Linked DNA regions of Schizosaccharomyces pombe. The protein of the gene in region 4 purifies or fractionates together with the protein of the main gene of each other region. This does not show direct contact. Each region holds a gene or a part of one and is shown on either strand. Other genes may lie near its edges.

Region 1 (7,293 bases), on a different chromosome or scaffold from region 4:
CTCCTAAGTAATTCCAACAATTTTGGATTAAATCCAAATGCTCGGCATTCTCTTAGTAGAGCCAATTCACCGGTGCATCATTATCCTTTTGCAACACCTCCTTCTCAACGTGCTAATAAATATCCATTGAATAATGGAGCAAACGTACCAGCTTTGCTTAATTCATTTTCAAGTCCACAATTAAGTCCTCTAGTAAATAGAGTTTTGAACGAGCCGTCTAGTTCCCCTTTATCGTCCTCAAGTTTGAAATCCCCGTTATCCAAGGAAGGCGTCTTAAATCAACAAGGACATGAGCAGTATAACTTCTCACTGTCACCATCTATCCGAAATAAGCTATCTCCTATTTGTCGTCCTAGTCAAGGGAGTTCTCCTAAGCTGAAGAATAATTTGTCCAACACAGAGGAAAGGATGGGTAGTCGTGCACTATTAGATGACAAAACAGATTCTGTTATCACAGCTTCTAATTCAACCACTTCTGGTCTGTCACGAGATGAATCTAGTAATCCTAATAATTATGAGTTGTTAAACGCGTTTAATCAAAACACCTGGAAAATATCTCGGTCGACTTCCAATAAAAGTCTTATTCCCGAAAGTCCATGGGGCGTTGCGCTGGGCGCATTTACTCCTAATGCATCTACCCAATCTATTCCTTGGGGAAATCGTACTTGGACAGATTAAAAAGTACCTTCAAAGAAGGCAATTTATCTAGTTCTGTTAAGATTTGTGTACATAAATATTTTAATTATTTCGTTTGTTTTATTTTAATTTTAATAACTGCAAATTGTAGCCTGCTGTTTACTTACTTCAATTTATCTAACTCACAGATTTTGGCTTACGCCATGAGTTGAAGTAATCAATTCAGACTTAGTACTAAAAAAATAAATAGCAAATTGTATCATCAAGTGATTAATTTGCTAAAATCACAATTGATCTTATTTTAAATTATTAAGTCAGTAAATTAGTAATGACCTTATGGTCTACGATAAACTCGAAAAAATTAGGTAATCTAAATCAAATGCAAATCTAAATTTCCGGAAAGACTTAAAATGAAATAATCAAATAAATTAAAATCATAATTAGTAAACATAACGGTATGAAGACGACAAACTCAAGAAAGCAGTTTCAAGAGAAATACCAATGTGCTACGAAAAGGTTTCAAAAAGAGGTGGAAGCATTTCTGGTTGAAAATGAGCATCCACGTCTATAGGGGACGGTTTTATACCTAATGCATCTAATGGAGTAAATTTCTCGATACATGAATCACCGTCAAATCCAGAGATATTAAAATTATAAGTAAACAAAGGGGTATTAGATTCTTTAATATGTGGAGTAGCGTAATCTATCTTCGGGGTCTCGAGATTCATTGGATTCTCTATAAGACCAAGTTCAGTATCATTGTTATTGATGTCTCCTTCATGTGATGAAGCGCCATTCCAAGTAAAAGGACCTTCAGCTGAAGGTTCGGGAGGCTGTAAAATACCCCACAGGTAAGAATTCCGCTCAGCAGTGTCTATAGCAGTGATATTTGGCTTTAACTCTACGGGACATGGTAAAGTTGTAGAAACATAAACGGTACCATTCGAAGAATTTTTTAAAGATAATAAACTTTGCTTGCTCGAGGAAGTATCAGATATATAACTCCTTAATTGGCGCTCCACATAATTAGCAATAACGTAAGGTTCATAAGGTAGATTAATTGGAAGAAGTGAGTGAAAAGATTCGCCAATATTTATCAACTTTAGCGTTAACTGATGCAAAGCAAGACCCTGATTCTCCTCTAGAAGGACAGAAGATATAAAATCTACTAATTTAGTGTTTACATAAGTGACATCTGAAACCGGGGATGTTGATGCATTTTCGAAATCTCCAGGTGATGTTAAGATATCACCATCGTCCTGCTTCAGTGGGATAAAGGAATACTCGACTTGTTGCTTCGATTTCTCATTTTGAATTTCTAAAGCAGATAGTAATGTCTCCACATTATCATCCTTTTTAAATACTTTTAATTTTTTTTCTGTGGGAATTGGTTTTGCTGATGTTTCATCCTTAAAATCATAATCTTCATAAACTCTTTTATTCGCCTGGCTGTCCGATGTTAAATTCGACAATTGCTCTTCAAACTCAGTCCCTTTAAATATCACTTCAGGAAGTTCAGACAACATTTGGTTTTTTTTTATATGTAAAAAGCGATTATATTGCAAATCGCGACTTAGTTAGATGTTGGCTGCTTCTGCTTGCTATACAAACTCATTTTATTACTCTTTTTTTAGGTGCCACAGGCTCGTCGTTATTCGATTACCGTATTAGTGTTCATGTTTACGCATTTCCTTCTATTAGCGCTATTAAGAACTTAAAGTATTTTACAGGAACAGCAGATACTCAGTTCCTTTAAACTCCATAGTATCATAATCGTCTAATTTTCGAATGGAATCAATACTTTTTAAGAACTGTCGATATACGCTCTTCAGACTAAAACCAAATTATTTCAATTTTTAAAAGATTATTATTATTATTACACGATCATGAAAAAATGAATTATACAAAGCTATACAGAACATTGTACCGATTTGGCCACCAGTCCTGAAGCTAGAAGATTTAATGAAGCAATGCTCAACTAATGTTTAATGATAAACACAGAGGAAAACAAGTAGTATCGCGAAGACACTTGCACGCACTTTTAAGAGCACACATTCATCAACTGCAGGTTTTCAAATAAGATACGCAATTTCAGCCTCTATAGTTTTCTTGAATAAAGCTGTGTTGCGCCGTAAAAGAAGAAACTCACAGATCAGTTTCTGATTTTGAAGAAAAAACTTTTCAAAGGATGTCTCTATCATCTGCATCATATAAAAATACTCATAAATGATGACTTACAGTGAAGGGGATTCTCCGGAAAGCTTTTTAAGGGTTTAATGTTAAAGATCAAAAAATAACCTGACCCCGACTAAGGTCTTTTACCCAACAATACCCATGAACATTGACACAAAACTGTGTGATAACTGTTGACATGCCTTAATGTTTTCGAAATTCAGACAATACTGGATAAATGGCTTCAAAAGCTTGGTAAATTTCCTCACGGACTTTCGCACCAGTTAAAACAATTTTACCAGAAACAAAAATCAATAGAACAACTTTTGGTTTTACCATGCGATAAATCAAACCGGGAAACAACTCAGGCTCATACTAAAAAAGAACAGTTAGATACTTATTCGTCTTTTAACAGCAACAACATCTTTAAAGATGATGAACTTACAGATGAGAAAGTACCGTGGGAGTAAGCCAAACCTTCCAAACGAATTGGAAATTTAACATCGCAACTTCCTACAATGTTCTGAATCTTAAAATCCGTGAACTTGGCATTAAAACCGAGTTTTTGGATGATACGCGCATACTTTCTAGACGCGAGCTTGGAGTCATCCTCGGATTTGCCACCCAAAACAACCATTTTACCAGACGCGAAAATCAATGCAGTAGACTTGGGTTCACGGATACGCATAATAACAGCGGCAAAACGCTATGTTTGGTCAATAACAGACCTCAAACAAAATTAAAAGGGTTTAACGTACTTTTGGGTTGTATTCTGCATTACGTGCATGTAGCGCAATAGTTTTGAGATCAAGACGACAGCTATTTTAAGAGGATTATTAGTAATAAGGTCTAATTTGCTAACTCAATGGAAAATTTTGTTAACGAGACGTATCATCCCCTGCGGTCATTGCCTTCGGAAATCTCGTGACATGGTAGTTAAATATAAACAAAACAAAAATCAAATAACCATTAACAATCGCTCTTACCCAAACGCCATGTCTATACAAAAGATTTCCGATGAACTCACCGCGACGGCAATACGCCTTGTTCCCTATCCAAAGAGGCACGACTTACTCTAAGTTTACAGTAGCAACAATATTTTGAAGGGTTGGAACAATGCCAGATACACCTTCATTTTTTGAAACTTCTGCATCCCCGGAATCTGCCGTCTCATTTGTAGCCTCGTTATTGGCATTGGGGAGAACAGGGAACGTTAAAGAAGAGTTATTCATAAAGGCACTCGCTTGCGAGGCCGTGGTGGGTAAAGCGAAATCCATTGCAGTAAATCAATTATTATTTTACGCTACTCGTAGAATTGCGTTATCCCACCCCTAATGGAAAGCCTGCAGGTGACGGCTGCTGCACTTATTTATATATACCCGATCTTTCAGGGTTAGGGTTTCTGAGTGTTGTGAAACCGCGGCGATGGCTGAATAGTAAAGAAATGCGCGATTTTTTATTTATAAAATACGTTTTTACAACTTTCTTATTAGCTTCTATGTATAAATTTCTCGTTTACAAAAAAAAGTCCTTCAAACGCAATACGAACGAGATATAGACGAAAATGAGTATAGGAAGTGCAAAATAAAGTACCGCATTTAGTCTAGAAAAGCTGAATCAAGCTTTGGTATAAAATTTGAACAAAGGCACTAGCTATCTAACCAAGTAGTTGGTTGCTGGCGATGTAAATTTTTTGTGTGCGCAGGTGGAAGGATGGTACGGAGTGAGAGCTGCGTCATATGCCCTTTCAGCAGTCTCGACGCTAACGCTTCACTGTATTTTGTTATATGGATTAACGCTGTTGGTCGTGTCGTAGTTTTTATAAACAAAGGAGAGGTGTTTATTCTCACGTGTAGTAAATAAAAAAAATATACTATAAACAAACATTGAGGGGAAAATAATCTAAGTTCAAAAAAGAAACTGAAGCATTTTCTTTTATTTTTTAAAGTCTTAACATCCTGAAAATCTGTAATTAGCGTTTCACGAATATAGTATTCCATCGCTACTTGTTATTTTATCATTCAATTAATAAAATGTGAAATTGCAGAAAGAAAATATAAATCGATCTGAGTTTTTTTTTTTTTTTTTTTTTTTTTTTTTAATTAAAGAAAACAAAAACAAATCATTAATCCCTCAAGTCTTTATAAGGGTTTTCTTAAACTATAAAAGAAGTATTTGTTTTAAACGGTATCCAAGAGACGATAAACCATTGTTAGTCTTTTGAGATAAATGTCATTCTTTGTTATAATAACCTCCTGATGCATATTAATAAATTGTTCTAAAATATGATTTCAAAGTTTCTTTGTTAGTAATTTAAAGTATCCTTTACAGAAAGAAATAAGATAACATGATATTTACTTTTTGAAATGTAAAATTCAAATTTTTATCTAATATCAATAACTTGACAATGTCATTCAATTAAATGGCTTTAATGCAAAAACTATAGAAGATCTGTAATGAAGGCAGAAACATATGAGGACACCAGAGTTGTTTAAATATTTTCGATTCAACAAAACTAAGATTAATACGGATAAGACATTTTCAAAGCATATCAATTGGTATGCTGAGATGGAAACCAACAACTTATTTGCAATAATATCGTCAAAAAAAAAAAAAAAAAAAGATGAAATAAATCTATTGGCTACTTTACTAGTTTAATATGAGGAAAAATATAATTAGGTATTGAAATTTTGTTTTTATTTTTTGTTTGCAAAATGTTTTTGCTTGCTTAGTTCAAGTACTAACAATAACCTGTAAAATTGCGCATCAAATACTCCGTTATCTTAATTCAGGTTATCCTGCCAAATTTTTACCCAACTCAACGACAAAATAATCAAAATCACGATTTTTAAACTCGTGGCTCGTTGTTTCAATAGTTCTAGTCGCTTTTTTAATAAAAATCTAATGTCGACTAGAAATCCCGCTCAATCGCATTGGGGTGTTCCTAAAGGACAAAGAACGGAGCTCTATGTATACAACACCTTAACTCATAGCAAGGTGCCTTTTGTTTCAAATGGTTCCAACTTAACATGGTACTGCTGTGGACCTACGGTATATGATGCTAGTCATATGGGGCATGCTCGTAATTATGTGACAACTGATATCCTTCGAAGAATCTTACAATCTTATTTTGGATATAACATTACATTTGTACAAAACGTTACTGATATAGATGACAAAATTATCCTTAGAGCTCGTCAACAATATTTATTTGAAGAATATAAAAAGCAGCAAGGTACTAACAAATCCCATTCAGAAGCTCGTGAAAAGGTTACTGAGGCTTGGTTTGCATATGCCAAGAAAAATCTTCCTGAACCTCCCTCCTCGATGAGTGAATGGCCTCAATGGCTCGCATCCCATGATATTCCCACTTTAGCTATCAACAATCCCAAGTTACCCATGCATGTGGATGCTTTAAAGTCTGCTTTGGACGCTCTTCAGGTGAGTGAAGCTTCTGAAATCATTTCTTTGGATGGGTTTTGGCCCAAGGTACAAGATGTTTTGGTCCCATTGCTTGATGCAGAATTGGGTAGCACCGTGACTGATCCTGCAATCTTTCGTAAACTTGCAGCTTATTGGGAAGATGACTTCAACAAGGACATGGCTAATCTGAATGTCTTGCCACCTACTGCTGTTACGCGAGTTTCGGAATATGTTCCTGAAATCGTAGATTTTGTTCAGCGCATTATCGATCGCGGTTATGCTTATCCAGTTACAGACGGTAGCGTTTACTTCGACACAGAGGCTTTCGAAAAAGGTGGTCATTTTTATGCTAAATTGGAGCCCTGGAATAAAGGAAATCGAGAGTTAATTGCTGAGGGCGAGGGTTCCTTGGCTGCTCTCACCGGTAAAAAGCGTCCGGGAGACTTTGCGCTTTGGAAGGCCAGTAAACCTGGTGAACCCTCTTGGGATAGTCCTTGGTCCAAAGGACGTCCTGGTTGGCATATCGAATGTTCTGTCATGGCTAGCGCTCTACTTGGTTCCAATATTGATATTCACTCTGGTGGAATTGATTTGGCATTCCCTCATCACGATAATGAGTTGGCACAAAGTGAGGCCTATTTTGACTGTCCCCAATGGGTGAATTATTTCTTTCATGCAGGTCATTTGCATATTGAAGGCCAGAAAATGTCTAAATCTCTTAAAAATTTTATCACTATTAAAGAAATTTTAAAGAAGTTTACACCTAGACAATTACGCTTGGCATTCTTACTTCAACAATGGAACACTCAACTCGATTTTAAGGAGACCCTTTTGGCATATGTCTTAAACATTGAACAAGCCTTAGAGAATTTCTTCCGGACTGTTAGAGCTCTCATGAATGAAACTGAAGGTGTAAGCGCTAATGGGGGTCACGTACCTGAAAAATTTGATAAGCTAGAAATTGAGTTACTTGAAAAATTCCAACAAACTCAGCAAAATACCCATCTTGCTCTTTGTGATAGTTTTAATACTCCTTTGGTCATGCAACACATTGATAATTTG
Region 2 (5,963 bases), on a different chromosome or scaffold from region 4:
TTGTTTCAGTAATCTCAATTGAGATCGATCCTATCAAAATCGCTATGGCAAAGCATAATTTGGAAATTTATGGCATTCCTTCATCTCGAGTCACTTTCATTCAAGGAGACGTTCTTGACACTTTTAAATCTTTGCAGTTTGCTAAAGATTACAGGGTATAGATAATCTTATATATTAATTCTGTGTTTAACAATATTTTCTAGTCTCTTGTTTTTATGAGTCCTCCTTGGGGTGGACCTAGTTACTCAGGAAAAACAGTATATTCATTAAATGACCTAAACCCATATGCTTTTGATGTTCTATTTAAAGAAGCAACTAGGATATCCCCTTATGTTGCTGCATTTTTGCCAAGAAACACTGATGTAAAGGAACTTGCAGCATATGGGAGTATTCATAACAAGCCTTATATTACCAATTTTTTATTTGAAGGATATGCCAAGGCAATTTGCTGCTATTTTAATATGAAGGGTGCTATTGCGCGAAAAATTTGAAAGTTTCAACTCATTTTCACGTGAAGTTCGTCAACTATATATTTGATTTCATAAACATAAATTGATTATTAACATTTTCTACAATGAATATCGTTATAATTAGATTCATCACCAATAAACAAAAAAGGAGCGATCGACGCCCATCATGAGATGTCAAATATTCTTTATAACACTCAGTATTATTTTAGTTTTTGTCGAGCATAGTAGCCAAACCTCCTTCAGGTCTACCAAATAAGGGACATATTTTGTTGGTCTTCATGTGGCCCACTTGACCACAGTTACTACATTTGCGAGTAGTGGGTTTTCGTCCTTCTCCGTTCAAGTTGATTCCTTCTTTGGCAGCATGTCGAGCTCTTCGTCGCTCCCAATTCTTCTGACTCTTGGCAAGTTCTTGTTCAAGACGCCTTCGGTTGCGTCTATCAATTGCTTCGTCTCCAGTTGGTACGACGGCATCAAGAGCAGTTGATTGTTCGTCAATCTCACGCCTCTTCTTCAGATAGGCATGGATGACTATCGGGTCATGAATGGTTTCCTGTTTACGTTCCAAATTTCCATTTTTGTCACGATAAAGTCGAACAATTCGTAAAACTTTATCAGAAGATGGAGTTTCTTCTCTCGTAGTCTCCTCATTAGATTCAACGTAATCATCATGTATAGAATTGATGCCATATTTTTTAGCCAATTCTTCCAGATTATTTATACTTAAACCTCTTTTCTGAGCATTCCAAATCCTATTTATTTCTTCTTCATAAGCCCTTTGTTGCTTTGCAACATTATAGGCGTGAGCATTCTTAGTTTGCGGTTCTGGCTTATCGTCGGCGGTTTCGCCAGCGGGTTTGAAACCACCCTTCATGCTCGTACGAATAAAACTATAACCTTCGCCAATTCCTGTAGGGTCACCCTCACCAAACAGTGTAAGCATGGCCTTCCCTTGGGTAGCATTTATAAAGTTTCTCGTAGTAATCCAAGGCGCTAACAGTTGCTCTGCTGGTTGTTCTTCATCTTCATCATCATTGATCTCATCCATTGTTTTCCCATACCCAGCATCTTCAAGCTGCCGCACACCCACTTGCATACTCTCTAGTAAGCACACTGTTTCAGGTGAAACCATTGACCGTGTACCTGCTTCATCGGGGACAACTTCATTCGATTTTAATTTCCAGTAACCTGGACCATCACCTTTCTTTTTGTATTCCATAAATTCTTTAAGACGCTGTCTAATTTGCATCTCATTCTGATCGGAGAAGTGCTTTGATAATTGTCGAATGAACAATCCTCCATTTGGTGAACGCCTAATAAGCCGGAAAACAAGCATTTTTAATCGATTTTTACTTGCTGTGGTCACTTTACGGGAATGGGGCCCAGGCACGTCAGTAACAGGAAAAGTTTGACCACTCACGAACATATGATTAATGTTTTTTAAGTAATATTTTGAGCCATAGCTACTAGAATTCCGTATTAGAATGAAGTCAGTAGGTGGTACCTCATGCTTAAATAACGGAGCTCTAATCATTTTATTATACAAAGTGGGAGTAATTTCTCCAGGTTCAACAGATCCAAAATTCCAAAAAGGGCTCCGATCCTGAACATCTAAAACGTGGCTTTCACCAACTTCGAGCTTGGGACGTGATTCATCCTGTTCATTTTTCTTTCGATAATAATTAACGATCCTGCTGGCCATACCTGCATTGGACAGCACTGCAGGATGTTCTTCTGAGAACTCAACGAGTATTGCATGTGTGGTATCACCCATTGTTATCTCCTTAGTAGTAGGAATTAATTCTCGTTCAGACTTATGTTTATCTTTACTTCTTTTCCTTACTATTAAAGGTGAAAAGACAATAGCTGCATTAGGTTTGAACGACATGGTTGGTCGATGGTAACTTCGAACAGCACGCTTACTAAGTCTTGTTTTATAGTAAGGAAATGTGAGCTTTTCGGCAAAGGCAGCATGCTCAATTGCTAACTGGGACAAGGTATTACGAACTTTTGACTGATGATTTTGTTTTAACATCTCATAGGCAGGATCGTTGGATATATTAAACTTCCAAGCCAGGGAATTCCTTTGATGGGTGTCTGCAAAAGATCTTTGGGAATCCTCTTTCTTCGGCAATTGAGGTTGTAACAAAAGTTTGGGGTCATTTAAATTTAATACTACTTTCGAGGTACCAGTGTCTCCGTCAAAAATGTTTTCATCAAATGCAAAATCAATATCAACTAGTGATTTGTCAATAAAAAATGATGATTGATTAGTTTTGTTAACATCACTCTCATCGTAAATAATATTTTTTTCCCAATCATTAGTAGTAAAAACGGTGTTGAGATCCAAGCCGTCATTCCTCTTTCGGTTAGTGAAAGCTATTCTAAATCAAACCATACCTGTGATGTATTAGCTGTTCTTCTTCGCTTTTTTGTATGCGTAGATATTGGAGACACAACATTTCGCTTTAATGGTAAAGACTTCTTGCTATTGAATATTATTGCGTAATCTGTATCGACTTCTAACGTTAAACGACCAGGTACGCAAACTTAACATGTCAGATCAGTAAAAAAATACAACAATAATCAATTCATACCTTTTGGGGTCTTTTTCTTTGGAGGAGCAAGCTTAACAGGTTTCGGCTTAAAAAGTTCTGAAAAGTTCAACAAAACACCACGTTCAAAGGTCGGAAAAAAAGTTTTGACAATGCTCTCCCTAATTTGAGCTTCGTTTTGTAATTCTTCTGTAGTAGAAGAAACAGTTTTCGAAGGTTCGGAAGGTGGAACTAATCCCGATGGAATTGAAAAGCCTACTCCGCTGAGGACCTGACCAGCAGCCTCTTCACCCATTTCTTTAGCTAAAAGCTTTCCAAAATCTTCATCATCCTTATCCCCGGTGTAATTTACAGCTTGTTCTTCCTCTGGTAGATTATCATCACTTACATCTTCCATATCATCCATTTCATTTATGTTATTACCAAATTCCTTATGAATTGAACCCATAAAGTCAAAATCTTCATAATTTGGTCCATCCTGAGGGTTGGAATTTTCAAAACTAGAATCTAAAATTTTTGGGGACTCATTCATCCCTGGATTGTTTGTATCTCCTAAAAGAGAATTTATTACAGACATGTCTGTACCATTTTGCTTAAATAAATCTGTCAGGTCCTACATTCGTTAGTTTAAGATTATAGATTTCAAAATACCTACATTTCCATCATTGTATCCAGATTTCGTATTTTCATTTTCAACTATAAGACCATCAAAAGACATAATATATTTCAAAATTTATGTATGGCCTCACTAAGCCGTTATATATGATATTAATCGACTTGTGGCGAAATGGGTGTTGGCTAAGGGATACTTTTCGTCTGCCGATGAATATAGACTCAGGTAACATTAGCTTACTGATGAATCTTGGGTGACAGAATTAAATTCATATAATAATATATATCTATTAACTATTAAATCCTCGATAATTTCGTTTATTAATTGGAAAGACTCATGAAAATAATTAGGCTTGGCGCTCACTGTACATTAATCAATAGTTTAATGTCTCGAAAAAATAAAGAACCGCAGACTTGTTTAATTAAATCAATAAATAAATGCTAGTGGGTGAGTTAAGAGGAGGACCTATGCAAGTTGGGGGTTTTGCTGTGTTGATACATTATCCATAAAGAAGACAAAGGTAAAGTCATAACAACAATTACAAAAATGTAGACGGCACGTAAATCAGATGTGTAGTTCGAAATAAGTGTTAAAGAAATATGGCTAAATAACACACCGGTTTGTGATATCAAAGCGTAGAGGGCAAAGAATCTAGTTTCTTTTCCAGATGGCACTAGTTGAGCGTATACGGACCTACAATAACTATGCGCACCTCCTAAGAAAAAGCCAAAGAATAAAGTAGCCCGGAAAACGTCAGCTGATGTTCGTATTCCAGCATTTTCAAATCCAGGAATGTAACCCAAAAGGCCATATAAAGGAGCCATCGGCAAGAGGATGGAAATAATCATTACTACTTGTAACGAGTTCAGTTGAAAATACTCAGTAAGATAGGGTATAATTACGGTGCCTAACAATGCGAAAGAAGATATTCCCATTCCTAGCAAAGTCAGCTGAAAGTTAGAGAGATTCAACCTTGCTTTTCCAAAAATAACGGCAGAAGAAAGAGAAGTTTGAATTCCACAATTAATGAAGAGTCGTGAAAATAGGAATAGCCTAATCGAAGAAATACTCATTGCATGCTTGAATGAATGATACGACTCTTTCACACTATTATAAAGTAGTGTCAGGATAGCATCACTTGAGTGATTTTCCACAGGTAGTGTAACAATGGTACAAAGGGGGGTTGAAAGTATAAGCCACCAACATGAACACACTGTAACAGTTATTGGCAAGATTATTGGATTGTTATTAGTTTTGTACAAAATGGGAGTAAAAATAATCTGAAAGAGAATAGCAGCGCCGAAGAAGCTACCGAAGCCAACGCTTGATAATCGAGCAGCGATTTTAGCCTTGTGTTCATCTTCCACATCTGCAGGAGGAGCGGATTCATTAAGTATTAGGCTGTGTTCAAGCAAATAGGGCTCTTCTTCACTAGAATCAATGGTGGTATTTGTTATGTAGCTATCTAGGTCATCTGTTTCATCCTGAAGAGCGGATTCCAATGTTATAGGTCCTCTCGTGATAGGGTAGAATCTCAAAAAAATAGGGAGAAAGCTGTCATAGCAGGATTGAGATATAATAAAGTTCAAGTCGACCAGAATCAAAAACACTATTTTTCCCAAAAGAAAACTCGAGGGACTCCACGAAAGTATAATACCACTAATAGAACCTATGATAACGCATGAAAACAAGATGTATCTTCTGTTATTTCCATAATCGCAAATAACACCCAAGCTAACCATCATAGCCATCTGTAAAAAAGTTGAAATAGCTGATGCAGCGAATACAATAGAACTAACATCAATCCATAGCGGACCAACTATATTCAAAGAGCAAGGTTCTTCTGGATATAAAGAACAAGGAATTGTGTGATCTGTTCTTAAAAAACCATGATCATGGGCATTTTTCATAACAATTAAAGGAACATACACCCCCATACTTATAATTGCAGTAGGACCTGCCCCAACTGCATAAAGAATCCAGCTCAGAACATGCCAAACTGTAGTGGAAAACTTCTTGTGAAGTTGTATTGGAGAATTCATATTGATAGCTCAATCGTCAAAAACTATGGAAATACAAATTACTGAAGATAATATGAAAACATAAATTTTGAAAGGGAATGAGAAAAGAAAAGTAAACTGTTGTAGTTATCTTAAAATTGTGGTTGGTGTAGCGGATTTATTAGCTACGCAATAGGGACATAACTGCTCGGGGGGAGACCAAACAATGCATGGACAAAACAAACAAAATAGATACAATCATGGCTGCTTCTAAAAAATTTTTAAGCGATCAACTAAATAATTATTGTATCATTTAATAATAGCT
Region 3 (7,074 bases), on a different chromosome or scaffold from region 4:
GTTGGCGAGGGTTTTTTCTCTTTTTTTTTTTTTTTGGATTACGAGACCAACTATGTAAATGTTTCTGTGGTACTAACCGCTCTATGGCGTGTGTAGTTACGTAAAAATTTGGGCGAGAATGAGAATGTGAGTGACGAGACTAGTGCAAAGGCGTATGTTGAATCGTTTTCCCTAGAAGTTCTTGTCCAGGCCGAAAGAAATAGCAAAAACGGGAAACCAGATGTGCAAGCGTATTTGGCAGCCCGAGATTTTCTAGAGTTGTCGAGAATCTGGGGACCACCTACGGAACAGGTACGTGAGTCAAAAACAGCGAGAGCAAGTGAGACGGAATGAAAAAGAGTAACGAGCAGAACTTAGGAGAAAAAAAAAAGAAAACCACGATCAACAAAAATGAAAAAATGAAGGTTCTTTGGAAATTTTTTTATTTTTTATTTTTGTTTTGTCAAAAACAAAATCGTCTTTTCCAATTCACATTACCATGTGTTTTTTTTTTCGACTCGTTTCTTCTTTTGCCATTCTGAGGATTTCCTTCCTATCGGTATTTTTCTCTCTCGTTTGTATTATACAACGATGCTTTATGATGCTTATAACGATTTTTTGTTCCCTACTAACCCCTATTGCTACGTAGATTACCAAGTCAATCAAATTTTGCAAGTTACGTGCGCTCCAAGTCGCAAATCCCCAACGAAAGGCCAAAACACCCTCAAACCACGCGACCGAGGAGTTACAGCAATCTTCCACAAATTCCACAACCCTACCTACGCAAGAAGCCGCCGTTGAAACGAATGCCTCTGCTTCTCATGAAACATCTTTTGCTCTCCCCACTACATCTCCAGCAGCATCGCTCTCCATCTCTCCTACAAAGTCTGCAGCCGTATCTTCCGAGCCTAATGTAGAAGCAGACGTAAAATCGTTGTCTTCAACACCGGCTGCTCCACAACTAAATTCACCTTCCCATTCATATGAGCCTACCACGTTCCCCTCAACTACATCAATAACCGAAAATTTGCCAACAATAGATCCTACTCGTTCCACTCGCTCTTCCTCGCATATCCAAAGTTTATCTCCTGAGTCAAAGCAAACATCAGATGGGCATCGGCCTCCCTCCCCTACGTCAATCACCACCACCTCCACCTCCATCGATCCGTCAGTAGCATTTTCCAGCAAGTCAACTTTAGCCACAACAAGAACAAATGCCCCTCTATCAAGGCCATCTCAACCGACTAAAGCCTCCCCCTTGAACAAGTTTTCCGCCTTGGAGGCTATCCAATCTGCTCGAAGTCATGCACGCTATGCATACAGTGCATTAGACTACGAAGACACAACGACAGCCATTCATCATCTAAAGTCGGCACTAAAACTTTTGGAGGAAGAGGAGCAGGGAAATCATACTGCAGACTAGAGGAAGAATGCTGGGGCTGGAATGGAGGGGATCTCAATGAGACAATGGGAAAAGGTGGGGCAGATACCAGTAAAATTATCTATCCATCTTGGGGAGAAACAATCTAATTGTACCACTCTCCCCACTATTCGTCTCTCTTAATGTTTGTTTATTTGTTTGTTTTTTTTTTATCCACTTTTTTTTCTTCAAATGCTTTCTAATTGTAGCAGGACCCCGCCTTTCTCTCCACTCTTCCCATTTTCCCTCGCCGTTGAGTGGCACTGCTCATCCCTGTCTCCTCATTTTTTGTCGCGTCATTTTAGCGAGCGTTTATTAAGGAACTGGCGAATGACTGCTGTTGTATATATTTCCCCAGATTTTCAGCAAGTAAGCTTTTGTCTTGTACTGCATACCACGTTGTCTTTCTTGCCCCTATGACGCAGTTATGAGACCAACGAGTCATGGGTTTATCCTGCCTCATCTTTTGTTACGTTATTTTCCTGTCTGCTTGGGTTTGGCTTCCGCAGTGGGGAACTGGCAATTGCGGTGGATATGTGTGGTGTCATCGCCCTCTCATCAAGTTTATATGTAGAGGGGCAGCGCTGAATTCTTTGCTCTTGGTTATTGCTTTCGCAGTTTTCCATATTTCCCCCATCCATCCATCCATCCATCCACCTCTTCTCTTCTCTTCTTTTTTTAACAGAATTGCTTTTTCCATTGTAAAATAAAACCATAGCAAGTTTTCACTACCACTTGGGTTTTTTTTTCTTTTCTTTAATTATTTTTTTAATCAACTTTCGTTGCTTTAATTTTTAAATATTTTTTCTCTTTTCATTCTTCCTACTCTTCCCGTTTACCGTCGATCGGCTGATTCTAGTTTTGACAATCACCATTGACTACGTCGATCCCTTTTTTTTTGGCCAGCCGAGATCATATATCCCGTTCATTCTTGGAACTTTCGTGATCTTTCGACTGTCTATTGATTCCGCAAACAAGTATATATATACACATATAGTTGTTTTTTCTTTTTGGACCTCTGTTCCATTGCGTTTCTCTCCTTCTTAGTTACTTGTGCTTCTTTACCTATTTCCTTTTTCTTTTTAAATAAGGATTCTTCTGTATCGAAATAAATTTCAAGAAAGGTAAGAACCGTTCCACACGCCTATTCTTGTATTTCTCTTTTCTTCGATTTGATTCGATTTCTATTCGTAACGCTTAGCTAGTCTTTGAACTTCCTTCATAATGATTGGTCCTCGTCTTTGCGCTGCAACCCCTCGCTTCCCTCTCGTTTCCCTCGCCCACAGGAACTCTAAAGTATTTGCGCTCGCCTCTTCCAATGCCGTTGCACAACGTTGGGGCAAACGCTTTTATGCTCCTATTGAAACGGAGACGCCTCACAAAGTTGGTGTAGAGTTTGAAGAATCCAAAGATCGCATTTTCACCTCTCCTCAAAAGTATGTTCAGGGTCGTCATGCCTTCACTAGATCCTATATGTATGTCAAAAAATGGGCCACTAAATCAGCTGTCGTGCTTGCCGACCAGAACGTATGGAACATTTGTGCCAATAAAATTGTCGATTCTCTTTCTCAAAACGGAATGACTGTCACCAAACTGGTCTTTGGCGGCGAGGCAAGCTTGGTGGAACTGGATAAACTTCGCAAACAGTGCCCTGATGATACTCAAGTCATCATTGGAGTTGGTGGTGGTAAAACCATGGATTCCGCAAAGTATATTGCTCATTCCATGAATCTTCCATCCATCATTTGTCCTACTACTGCCTCCTCTGATGCCGCTACTTCCTCTCTTTCCGTCATTTACACTCCTGACGGTCAATTCCAAAAATACAGCTTTTACCCCCTTAATCCCAACCTCATTTTCATCGATACCGATGTGATTGTTCGCGCTCCCGTCCGCTTCCTTATTAGTGGCATTGGTGATGCTTTGTCCACCTGGGTGGAAACTGAATCCGTTATTCGCTCAAATTCCACTTCCTTTGCCGGAGGTGTGGCCTCCATTGCTGGCCGTTACATTGCCCGTGCTTGCAAAGACACTCTTGAAAAGTATGCCCTGAGCGCTATTCTTTCCAACACTCGCGGTGTTTGTACCGAGGCATTTGAGAACGTGGTCGAGGCCAACACATTGATGTCTGGTCTAGGCTTTGAAAACGGTGGTCTTGCTGCTGCTCATGCCATCCATAACGGTATGACCGCCATCCACGGTCCCGTTCATCGTTTAATGCATGGTGAAAAGGTTGCTTACGGTACCTTAGTTCAAGTTGTTTTGGAGGATTGGCCGTTGGAAGACTTCAATAATCTTGCTTCTTTTATGGCAAAATGTCATCTTCCCATTACCCTTGAGGAACTTGGTATTCCCAACGTAACCGATGAAGAGTTATTGATGGTAGGTAGAGCTACTTTGCGACCTGATGAGAGTATTCACAACATGTCAAAGAAGTTCAATCCATCTCAAATTGCTGACGCTATTAAAGCCGTTGACTCCTATTCACAAAAATGGCAAGAACAAACTGGATGGACCGAGCGTTTTAGATTACCCCCTTCTCGTCATAGTCCTCACTTGACCGACATTCATCCATAGGCATTATTTTTATCCCCAGCTTCAATTTTCCCTAGTAAATCCAAAAGAAGAAAAGAAATTTTTAAGCGGGTTTTCTTCATTGATCATTAATGTCCTGAGTGTTTTTTTTTCTATAGTAGTCTTTTATTTCGTGTGCTTCCTTTCCTCTTGGAACTTTTTTTACCTTTTTTCTTTCTTCCTTTTTTTTATTTTTTTAAAAAAGTTGTAAGCTTTTCCCGTTAATCTAGTGATTTAATGATCAACCTTTTCGGCCTACTCCAAAGTTTTTTACGCCCCTTATAACTTCATGAATAATTTGCTTTATTTTTGTTACGAATGAAAAAAATTGTTCCCCTTTTCAAATGAATGTTTTATCGTTGTTAGTTGTATTGTATTAAAGTTGTTCACCGTAATTGATCTATTTGTTACAATGCACATCATCTGTGTTGCTTCCTTTTTTTTTTTTTTTTTTTGCAATCGCTTTTTATTGTGATAGATTTCAAAAGTTTTAAATGTAATTACAATTAATAATGTTCCTATGTTAGAAAACTTTAAATAACTAAAGTGATTTGTTTTCACGTATTATACAATTGTCGCTAGTGGCCTTGTCAAACATTCGTTGTTATTATATTATATGCTAACTCAATATGATTAGTATGCTACAAATGGTATAATAAGTGAGTAAATCCCGGATTCCTAGCTACATTGAAAACCCTTTTTACCTTAACCTTTGCATCGATCAACAATTTCGCGCTTTATTTACATTGTTTACTGTGGGATAAATAAGTAGTGTTGTCAACAATACATTACTCAAGGATACACTACGTTGAGTATCACTATATGACACATGTCCTAATCATTCATCGTTGTATGAAACAGTATTGAGATTGACCTTAATAATAATCTATTAATATTTTTATTATCTGAATACTATAAATAGGGCTACTGCCGAACCTTGTTCCTCAGTTCAGTAGTTTAGCTATGTCGGTGATCGATACTAATGGACTTCTTATAGTAACAAATATACATTGTTAGTTAAACATACCACATACCGCTATACTGTAGGTCGCAAGAGAAACTCACCGCAGTTCTATGAATCGTTAAATAGATACCAAACTGCGTAGCTGACAGGTGTTTGCAGATAACGATTGTATTAAAAAAATGTTGTAAATCACTATGGCTCGTTAGTAGTAGATAACGAGACTCACTTGAAGGTTTAGCGACTTGCTAATCGAGCGTTTGCCAACGACAATTACTCAAAAGGCGGTTTTCGAAAATGGTTAAGCTAAAAATTCGTGCTGTTCAGCCTCCTCCAAATGATTCACGATCTAGCACTCCAGCCACTGGTCCTCCTCCCCCAATTCCTAAAATTAAGATCAAGACACGTGAACCTAAAGGCCCTCGATTGACAAAAATTCGGTTAAAAAGAGTTCGCGAACCTGGCTTAGGATATGATTCAGAAGCTTCTGACAGAGAAGAAGACACTTATATTGAAGAACAAATTATATTACGTCTTCCTCCTGGTGAAGATTGTGAGTATGTTCGAAAAGCAATTGAAAATAGGGAAGTGGGACGAGGTGCAGACATATGGGTGAAGTTCAAAGGTAATGACTTGGTTACACTATATTATTATTAACAGAGTTAGATCAAAGAAGAGCGGTTGTTCATGTTAATGGTCATTTGTACGCTGCGAAGTTAGTTGATTTGCCATGCATCATAGAATCTAATAAATCATTCGACAAAAAAGTTATCTTCAAGGCTGCTGACATCTGTCAAATGTTGATAGCTACAGAAAGAATCGAGCACGAAAATTCTGTTCTCAATACTCAGTTAAAGCAAGCTGATTACATTTATCCACATGGATTGACGACGCCAATGCATTGGGTGCGGCAGAAGCGATTTCGAAAACGTGTTTCGAACAGAACAATCGAAGCAGTTGAAAATGAGGTTGACCGATTGCTTGCAATGGATGAACGCGCTGAAAGTACATCGAATGAGTTGATTGATCAAGCACAATTGGCTCGTGACTCAAGCATCGCTCTTTCAGAGGATACATCGTTTGATGGAATGGCAGGACTTCGTGGTACCAGCATCGATCGGGACGACCAAAGCGTGCAAACTGATATGTTTGATGGTATGGATGAGGACGATTTGGCTGGACAGATTGAACAGGGTATGCTTGAGCTTAGTCAAGATACTCGGGAGTCAACAGCAGAACCTCGTGCCGCAGGTGAAGAATCTGCTAGTGAAGAAGAAGAAGAGGAGGAAGAAGAAGAAGAAGAGGAAAATGAAGCTGACGATGAGACTCGCGAAAATAAACGACAAAATAGACTTGTTCGTGAGTTTATTTCAGAGTTGGAGTCTTCTATTCAAAAACGTAGAAAGGATGCCGATGAAGCAACTAATCCCATTCTACGAAATCGTTTCCTTGCAGACGTTAATCGTATGGTGACCGAGTTAGAGTTAAAACGTACTCAACTTGTCGATAACCCTGAATAAATGTGTTGCGTAGTTACATCTTTTTACATTTTTTTTTAAAGAAAAAAGCATTTATTTCTATACGTTTTACCTTTTGCATATCAGCTACAATAATAATGAACATCGGTTATGGTTTGGATATATATACATATATTTATATTTTATATAGTAGATTGTAAATTGCATATTAAGTATTTTAGACACTGATAGCCAGAATTAGTTTTGTTAATGAAGTGTACCGAACTTTATTACAACAATCATTTTTCTGCATAAGCAATTCTATTTAAACGTATACATATATTTATTAATATACATTTATATGCTCATAAATAAATTTATATACTTGAAGATTACTATTTCTTCAACTTGACAATGATGCATTCATTGTCGCTTATAGTAACATAAACTTTTGCTAACTCTACAAAAAAACCCTTCCATTCGGTAACCTGAAAATTATGCCGACATGGAGGTATATTTTTTCATTAAGAAGTAAATCTTCTTTCACTAAAACCTGGGTACCGTTTACTCAAATTCGAAATTCTAGTAAATCCCCCAAAGTCGGCCAAAAGCCAATTTTACAAGGCGCGTTAGGACCTCCGTTAGATTTTATTAGACCGAAGGAAAAAGTAACTCTACCTCCT
Region 4 (8,013 bases):
CGATCCATTTTCCTTATTCTCAAGAAGAGTAATCACACTAATGTTATCTTTAGTCATAACACGGTTGTACATGTTAGACGTTAGTTTAATGTCTTGCCTACGAAGAGATGGTGCTTGATTATATTCTATCACCATCTTTTCGTGCATGACATATTTAGATGTTTTGAAAAATGTAGCACAACCATCGACGATGCGACGTTCAACCTCATTCATAGTTCGTACGCGACTTTTCGGGAAGTGGACACCTTTATAACCTTTCAAACTCATTTGTGGAGCAAAAAAAGTATCATAGTTCTCAACATCAACTTCTTGCAAACAAATGATATCAGCATTATAACCACCTAATTCTTGCATGATTAAATCTTTGCGATACGACCAAGAGAGTGCCCATGAAGGAGTATAGCCATACAATGTGGATGTAGCATAACGTTCACAAAGCACATTATAACTCATAATAGTAAACTTGAGATTCTTAGATGTTGTAGAGGGCTTGTTAGAATCAGCAGCCGTTAAATCTCTAACAGAGGTTGAAACATTGTCATTAACATCATCATCATCATCGGAAACAAGTTTTTCCCATCCACGCTCAGGAGGAGGAGGGCCAACAGGGCAACCATCGCGCAAAGCAGCAATTAAACCTGCAGTACCACTTTCCATGATTTGATTCTTGTAAACGTCTTGAAGAGGATTACCTTCAATACCAAGAATTTTCAATTGGAAAAGGGTACCGAGTTCGGCAGGTATTACACTAATCATATTATCAAACAATAGGACTTCTCTAAGCTCAGTAAGTAAACCAAGCTCTGGTGGAATAGTTTTAATGCTGTTTCCAGAGGCATCCAAAATAACCAAATTCTTCAGTTTGCCAATTTCAGGTGGTAATCGGGTAAGATTATTATGGTTTATGTATAATTCAGTCAAAAAAGAGAATTTAAATAAATCAGTGCTCACATTTCTCAAACCAATACCACCAAGGTCCAAACAAGTCCAATCCCGTCTCTCTTTCTTAGAGTCAGATTTCGACTTTTGGTCATCAACCGCAACAGAAGAAGTGGTTGTTTTTGACGTACTGTTTAAGGTAGTACCACTGGAAGTGTTTAATGTTGTTGAGGTCGTCAATGTTGTAGTAGTGGAGCTAGTATTGTACTTTCCCCCTAACGAGGATAAGCCAGCAGCATTAGGGCCTCCGGTAAAAGCTCCAGTCCGAGCATTGTAATTCATCGAAAACCCAGGTCCTCCACTTCGTGCTAAAGCCGCAGCATTATGAGCTCGTTGGTGTGGTGAACTGAAGGACCTGGACTGAGTTGCAAGTGCAATTTGCTGTTTCCAATGTTCAGAAATATTACTATTTTCTAAAGCTGGCGAATTCTGTACAGATAATATTGCTGCATGTTGATGGTCTGGCGTCAACAGCCCCGGGTGCGCTCCTGGATAAATTGTACCTTGCGTATACCTAGGATTAAACATAGACGGTATCTCGCAAAATATCAAAGTCGAGATGAATTCTAATTTACAACATTCACTATATATACAATAAAAGTGAGGTTGTTGGTGAACGGCAAGAGTCGAACCCCGTGATAGCTTATAGGTGGGATACGAAAGCTCACCACCAAGATTTGAGACGAAAACTCAGTGTCCTGTTAATCGTTTTTTAGGTATATAATTGCATATGAATGCTTTCAATTAATTCATATTATTAATTTTTTTTCTAAATAATATAATTTAGGGTCCAAACATGAAATTATTTTAGCTTATGTTTAGCGCTGTTATGGTCTATGTAAATATTGGAGCTACTGAAAAATTTAATATATAATGTATCATCAGAAGTCCTTTATGAAGTTTATAATATTAAAAGCTTTTCCGGAACATCAAATATGAATTATTCAGCCTAATTTCGATTCCGATACATGGATGTCTCAAAGTTGTTAAAAGGCAGTTAGTTGTTGACTCATTATCGTAAAGTAAGATAATGTTTAATATTTAAATTAAATTTTTTATAATCTTTTTTTATATAATGCCAAATTTCTTAAAGTATGGACGGGAAGAAACATATTGAAGATCAAAAAAGGTTTATTTATCTAACTAACGCTTATTGCTAAGCAAAGGTTACGACGCGTAAAGGAGACATTAAATATAGGGGTTTGCTTCGTATAAAGAGCTACCATTTGATCCGGACTGTTTGAGAAGGTTAGTAAATATATCGATTCCATTACATTTTCTCATACCTTGTAGACCAATTGACTTCATTAAATGTGGATGTTTTAGCAGAGAAAGGTGTAACAACACTTCCCGTTAGAGAAGAAGAAACAGGATTGTTGTAATTAGTTTTGAAAACGTCCCAAGCTCTCACAGTACAATCTGACCCTCCGCTAACGAGGACCGTGGATTCGCGAGAAAATGACAAAGAGTATATGTTGCCTCTGTGACCTCGCATTGTCTTTATACGCCTTCCTGTTCCTATGTCCCAAAGGTGAATTAGACCTTCACTGTCTTTAATCAAATTAGTAAAATCATTAGTAATAACAAATGTATAACATACCAGCACTTGCCATAGTATGACCATCTGGGGCAATCGCAACAGCAGTTACCGGTTGGGTATGTCCATTAAAAACACGAACAGAATGTCCTCTATGTACATCCCAAAGCCTGCATGTTTTATCGCTTGATCCAGTTAGCACATAAGCGGAGTTTGGATGAAAGGTAACGCACTAAATACAAGTCAGTCATAAGGAAACACATTTCTTAAAAAAGATAATAATCATACGTCTACATCACTTAAATGCCCAGCAAAAACTCTAAGTGGGTATATATGATCACAGCTCCAAAGTTGTGCAGTCTGGTCATGAGAAGCAGTAGCGAAGTAATGACCAAACGGACCAAAGGCAACATCCCAAACCGGGCCAGTATGTCCCTTGTAAGCTACCAAAGCAGTTTTTGTGTCAACAGACCACAGCCGGGCGCTAGCATCTTCGGAACAAGATAGTAAATATTTATTATCGGGAGAAAATGTGGTGCCGTAAACAGGACCAGAATGACTCAGTAAACGTACTGAGCCATCTGAATCCTCTACAGAAGTTGACTTAGGTAATGATTTTTTGTCAGCCTTTATTGACCATAGCCGTATATAACTTTCTTGAAAACCACAGGCGATCATTGTGGAGTCAGGAGAAAATTCAGCACAGTTCATGTTGTTATTGGTGTGATGGAATGTGTACATACAAACACTAGGAAGGGAGGCTCTAGGTCCAAGATGTAATCTTTTACTCCAATCTTTCACAGCCTCAACTTCTGAAAGAATATCAACACCTTTATGAGGAGGAAGAGGGATATAATCTCTAGACGGAGCATCTTCAGCATTAGGTTCATGCAGCTTTCTAAATTCTTTTAATAGTTTTGGAGATTGGTTATTTGGATCGTTTTGGTGCATCATATCCTCTTCTTCTAAGTCCATCTCTACAATTTTTTCCATTTCTTTGTCCATTGGCATTTGTTGCAGCTTTACAGGTTGAAGTTGAGCATCTCCTCGTTCAAAGGATTGGCCGGTAATACCTTCTTGTTCATTGATAACTTTAGCATTTTCCAAGACGGTGGGACGTCCGGGAACGATATGGATATCTATATGCTGATTGATTAATTTAATGATAATTGACCCACCGTTTGAAACGTTTTCAAATAAGAAATGAAGCAATAAATCAAATGTTATCCTAGAAAAATGGAGTTGATATTTATTTTGCCGGTATTGTTGAGCAGTGCGGTCTTCTGCGACATGGCTTGGAAGACTCAGCGATTTTAAGTTTTTTACATCAAAGTCATGAAGATCAGTATGATCGTCTTTGAAGAGTTCGTAAAATTGCTTTGCTATAGCACGTTAGTAAAATTATCATTTATCCTTATAAAGAATTAAATATGGGTGGTCAAGTGGAATGAGTTTCAGAAATAAAGACAAGTTGTAAACTCAATAGATAAAGAAACTAATAAGTATTTAGAATAGTTCAAATACCCCTCTTGTTCGTAGATCATCGAAACAAACATGTAACAAATTCGTAACCTCCTCCAATATGACCAACTTACCAGCTTCATAATGATCTTGAGACAAGAGATTAAGATATGAGTGAACAAATATAGGAAATAATATCCTGTGAAGTTCAGCTTTGTACAATTCTAACGAACTATCCACCCAGTCTCGTAAGATCGTATACGTGTGTGTGTATGCATCTGGAGTTTCCTCAATGCTTTTTAACTTCTCCTCTACTGACACGCCAGAACCCGATGCTTCCAAACGAAGCATCGCCTCGGTCCTTGAGTATCCCTTCTTCGCAAGGTAATCCAGAACAATTCTGTTCAGATCCTGCGGTTGCGGCCCATTAGTGGCAGACATGGTTAAATTCTCCAATACTCTAGCTTGAAGAAATTAATTAGAATCCAAATATAAATCTACAAATGACCGTGATTCATATAATTACCTGCGCAGAGCTCAAAGCAACTTGCTAGGAAGTAGCATATGTCGAGTTCGTGTCTATTAACATACCATTGTGTACCACGCTAAATTGGGAATTTGCAGGATTTATGAATAACTGAAATTTGGAAAGGTTCCACAGTGTCTGTGAGCGTTTTGATGTCGAAATCCTATCTAAATTACTATTTCTTTTGTCCTACTCAAAAATGAACTGTCTATGAAATTGTTTTAATGTCAACACAGGATTGCGAGGCAATGAACGCTAGAAAAAAAAAATAAATAAATAAAAGTTTTGCATAGTAAAACTTTTTCAATTAGATACTTTTTAAAATTCTTTTTTGATTTTCAATTCGGTTTTAAAAACTTTCACTTACTTTTTTTTTAGAAGTTTCATCCCAATTTCGGGATGTTTATAATTTTTTAATTAAATTATAGTAGGGCCCCTTATTAAAATAAAACTAAATGTTGGGTTGAAATTTAAATAGGGAAAATGTAGAAGTTTTTTTTAAAAAATTCAAAAAATTGGGAAATTTCATATTTCCTTCAAAATCATTAGTTTATAACAAAAATTGATGTAGCATTGATAAAATGAGTTTATCAGAAATTATATGTTTTTTTTCCTGTTACAGATTTGTATGGTTTTGAGTCTTAATCGGTTTATTTATTTATTGATATATTTATTTACATTATTGAAATTTACAAATAGTAGGTTGCGATGAAGTAATGGACTGTAGATAATAACTGTAAACTATCAATTATTTACATTCATTTTTAATTATATTTAATTTTCTTCTTTACAGTTTTCTTTCTTTTGGACCAGTTTTAGGGATTTGGTGGTAAGTACTGTGTTTTCATTTGCCTTAACATCCAAAGCATCCTTGCTACCAACTAGCCTATCTTCATCCAGCGAGACGACTTGACAGTTTTTTCGTTTTAGACGAAATAAAAACCAACAGCTCCAAATTTCGACTATTGCAATGTTCTAATTAATGCTGATAATATTCTATTGGTTGGGAAGATCGATTAATCTACTTTTCATAAGCATATAATAAAACATCTACATGATTTTTAAGTCACTAATATTTTCCTCTTCTCAATAATTAGTAATATAACTTTGCGAACTGAAAATCACTGTCAAATTATTAAATCTTATATTTTGGTCGATATTTGCTATTGGCTTAGTTATTTCTTGCAACCTATTCTTCATGAACGGCGTTAAATAATTTAAATCCCTTTTATTGTTGTAACTGTTGCTGGTTAATATTTTTTACTATTCATTCGTTTCCATTATGTCTACAAGGTCAATCGTTACTAGTAAAGTTTCTTGGACTCCAGAGAAGTTCATTTCAGCTCTCAGTTATCCTGAGCATTGCTCTATTACTCTCGTTAAGCGACTCAAGGCTTCTGTAAAATTAAAGGACCTCAAGCAAAATATATCTCGTGATGCACCTTCGTGGACGTTCGAGCATTTGTTTGTGGCTTTCAAATGTGCAGTCAGTAACTTAGCTAAGCAATGGGCGGAGCTATCCACTACAGATAAGGAGAAAACTAGAAGGATGTTTTGTACACCTTCTAGATTAAATACGGCTCACCGTCCCGAGGTTTTCTACCTGTTAGAATGCTGTACATATATTCTCGAACAAATGCAGGTGGTAACCAAAAATACAAGTCATTTGTATGATTGCATCCGTAGCGGGGTTTCAATTTGTAATCGGCTCCTGGACATGGAGATTTTTGAACCAGCTATCAGTCTTTTGATGAAAACTCATAAAAACCTTATAATTTTACTGACATATCGGGACCACGATGCCATCCCTACTGCTACCCTTCTTAATCCCACTTTAGATGTTTCAGAAATCCAATTAGAAAGCTGCCTTTTTGTTCCTATGGTTCCTGCCTCTTATTTCTTAAATATAGGCACTATCGTTGTCACATTTCAGCTCAATGTATTACGATGTTTATCTTTAAGTCAAATTAACGGTTTGTCTTTGAATACAATCAATAACTTACAAAGCGAAGATGGCCCTTTTCAATGGATTGAAAGAAGCTTTCCTTCCCAGGTTCAATTGGCCAATTCGAGAAGAGAAATTTTAGCTCGTTTGTTGACAAGATTTTCCATGATACAAAATAACGCCTTACAATCGTTCAAACTTTTAATCCTCTCTATAGCTTTATGGTTGAATATTCTTTCTTCCCAGAGAGCTGACGATAAAGAGTTTGATGTAAATCAGCTTGAAACGAGAATCCTCCAACTTTTCTCAAAAGTTGTCCAATTATGTAAAAGCGAAGATATTGAAGGATCTATTTTAAATAAAGATATGACACAACTTCATCATCTTCTGGAAAATTTATCAAAAGAATCGAGGTTGCATATTTTGCTTCAACTTTCTCAACTTTATTATAAATATAATGATTTCCAATTAAGCGCTGCATATGTCATTAGAGGCTATTCTTTGTCATTTGAAGACATCAGTTTTAAATTAAAATTTTTATTATTTTCTTTTCGATTATCAATTCACGATAATAGCATTTGTTTTCCGTTCAATTTAATCCAAGAGTTGTCGTCACTTCAGCAGCTCTTTGTCGAAAATGCTTTACCATATTCAGAAGCTCTACATTTATTGGATTCAATAGAGCGATCATTTCGACTTTTCAATGACTCGACGGTTTTTGATGATACTGTATTTGCTTTGAACATATCAGAAATTTTATCGTGGATACTCTCATCGGTTGTGAGGGATATCCTTGTCGAGGATGAGCTTTTAAATCTCCAACTTAAAATAAGAAAGTTTTTGATGTTTACATTTCATATAATTAGGTCATTTAGTGAGTTGACTAAATTTCAAAGTTCTCTGGAAGGCTGTTTAAATCTCGCAGCCTACTATGAAGATGCTGAATTTCCTCAAAAGCTTTCCAATCATCTTTACAACTTGTGTGTAAAATCTTCTAATGTTAATTATGCACGTGAATGCATAAGTTTGAGTATCAAAATTGCTGTATCACATAAATTGACTAATGATGAAACATATCTCCTGAAAATTTTAAAAAATTTTCAACTTCGGTACCACGATTCTTTACAGTTGCAAGAAAAATGTGATGTACTCCATACTACATTCAATCAACTGGATCTCTATGTTGGAACTACATCTGTTGGAAAATCTAGTGTATTGGATAACATTTTAAAACGTATATTCAACTCTTTAACTTCTATAAATGATTCAAATATAGAAAAATTGCTTGAATCAATAAGCTATTCCTTGCTCAAACTTTTTTTTAAATGTGCAAATGAAGGTTCTCGATATAATGCATCTGCTGCTTTATCTTTTAAATTATCTCTTATGTTACATGAAAAAGAGGAGGTCCTTTTGCTTAAAACAAAGTAAGTATTTCTACAATTTTCTTATTTGCTGACATTTAGTGTTTCTTGCGTTTTGGCAAACCATGGGTATAATGACATTAAATTTGAGGAAATGGTTCTTTGCGTTATTAAAGGTGACCAAAATCTCCTAGAGCATAATTCCAACAATAATGCGAAATTAGCTTTAAACGAGTCGCTA

What was found.
Region 1: the proteins of taf5 (region 4) and tbp1 purify together in Schizosaccharomyces pombe (affinity purification with western blotting, with the first as the bait; 2 studies listed by BioGRID). This does not show direct contact.
Region 2: the proteins of taf5 (region 4) and taf1 purify together in Schizosaccharomyces pombe (affinity purification with western blotting, with the first as the bait; 2 studies listed by BioGRID). This does not show direct contact.
Region 3: the proteins of taf5 (region 4) and taf7 purify together in Schizosaccharomyces pombe (affinity purification with western blotting, with the first as the bait; 2 studies listed by BioGRID). This does not show direct contact.

The regions. Positions count from the first base shown.
Region 1 is NC_003424.3:4,412,339-4,419,631, reverse strand, and holds tbp1 (TATA-binding protein (TBP)), read right to left. Parts: upstream 4,154-7,293; 5' UTR 4,086-4,153; coding exon 3,883-4,085; exon of another isoform or gene 3,628-3,882; coding exon 3,567-3,627; exon of another isoform or gene 3,515-3,566; coding exon 3,254-3,514; exon of another isoform or gene 3,184-3,253; coding exon 3,013-3,183; 3' UTR 2,481-3,012; downstream 1-2,480. Other genes in the region: protein nst1, read left to right, coding at 1-678; SPOM_SPAC29E6.09 (uncharacterized protein), read right to left, coding at 1,143-2,162; SPOM_SPAC29E6.07 (uncharacterized protein), read right to left, coding at 4,458-4,808; SPOM_SPAC29E6.06C (cysteine--tRNA(Cys) ligase Crs1), read left to right, coding at 5,713-7,293. UniProt on the Schizosaccharomyces pombe protein: General transcription factor that functions at the core of the DNA-binding multiprotein factor TFIID.
Region 2 is NC_003424.3:836,100-842,062, reverse strand, and holds taf1 (transcription factor TFIID complex, histone acetyltransferase subunit Taf111), read right to left. Parts: upstream 3,826-5,963; 5' UTR 3,744-3,825; coding exon 3,681-3,743; exon of another isoform or gene 3,639-3,680; coding exon 3,068-3,638; exon of another isoform or gene 3,053-3,067; intron 3,020-3,052; coding exon 2,871-3,019; intron 2,833-2,870; coding exon 676-2,832; 3' UTR 501-675; downstream 1-500. Other genes in the region: RNA methyltransferase Tgs1, read left to right, coding at 10-155, 204-491; vacuolar amino acid transmembrane transporter Atg22, read right to left, coding at 4,091-5,680.
Region 3 is NC_003424.3:2,171,910-2,178,983, reverse strand, and holds taf7 (transcription factor TFIID complex subunit Taf7), read left to right. Parts: upstream 1-5,196; 5' UTR 5,197-5,231; coding exon 5,232-5,559; exon of another isoform or gene 5,560-5,600; coding exon 5,601-6,454; 3' UTR 6,455-6,574; downstream 6,575-7,074. Other genes in the region: vta1 (Vts1 family protein), read left to right, coding at 97-291, 629-1,402; glycerol dehydrogenase Gld1, read left to right, coding at 2,624-3,976; mismatch repair ATPase msh1, read left to right, coding at 6,889-7,074. UniProt on the Schizosaccharomyces pombe protein: TAFs are components of the transcription factor IID (TFIID) complex that are essential for mediating regulation of RNA polymerase transcription. Also involved in the transport of mRNA from the nucleus to the cytoplasm.
Region 4 is NC_003421.2:638,067-646,079, forward strand, and holds taf5 (transcription initiation factor TFIID subunit 5), read right to left. Parts: upstream 4,470-8,013; 5' UTR 4,379-4,469; coding exon 4,072-4,378; exon of another isoform or gene 3,859-4,071; coding exon 2,765-3,858; intron 2,709-2,764; coding exon 2,540-2,708; intron 2,491-2,539; coding exon 2,226-2,490; intron 2,176-2,225; coding exon 2,079-2,175; 3' UTR 2,017-2,078; downstream 1-2,016. Other genes in the region: CCR4-Not complex subunit Ccr4, read right to left, coding at 1-1,467; cut1 (separase/separin), read left to right, coding at 5,746-7,835, 7,875-8,013. UniProt on the Schizosaccharomyces pombe protein: Functions as a component of both the DNA-binding general transcription initiation factor complex TFIID and the transcription coactivator SAGA complex.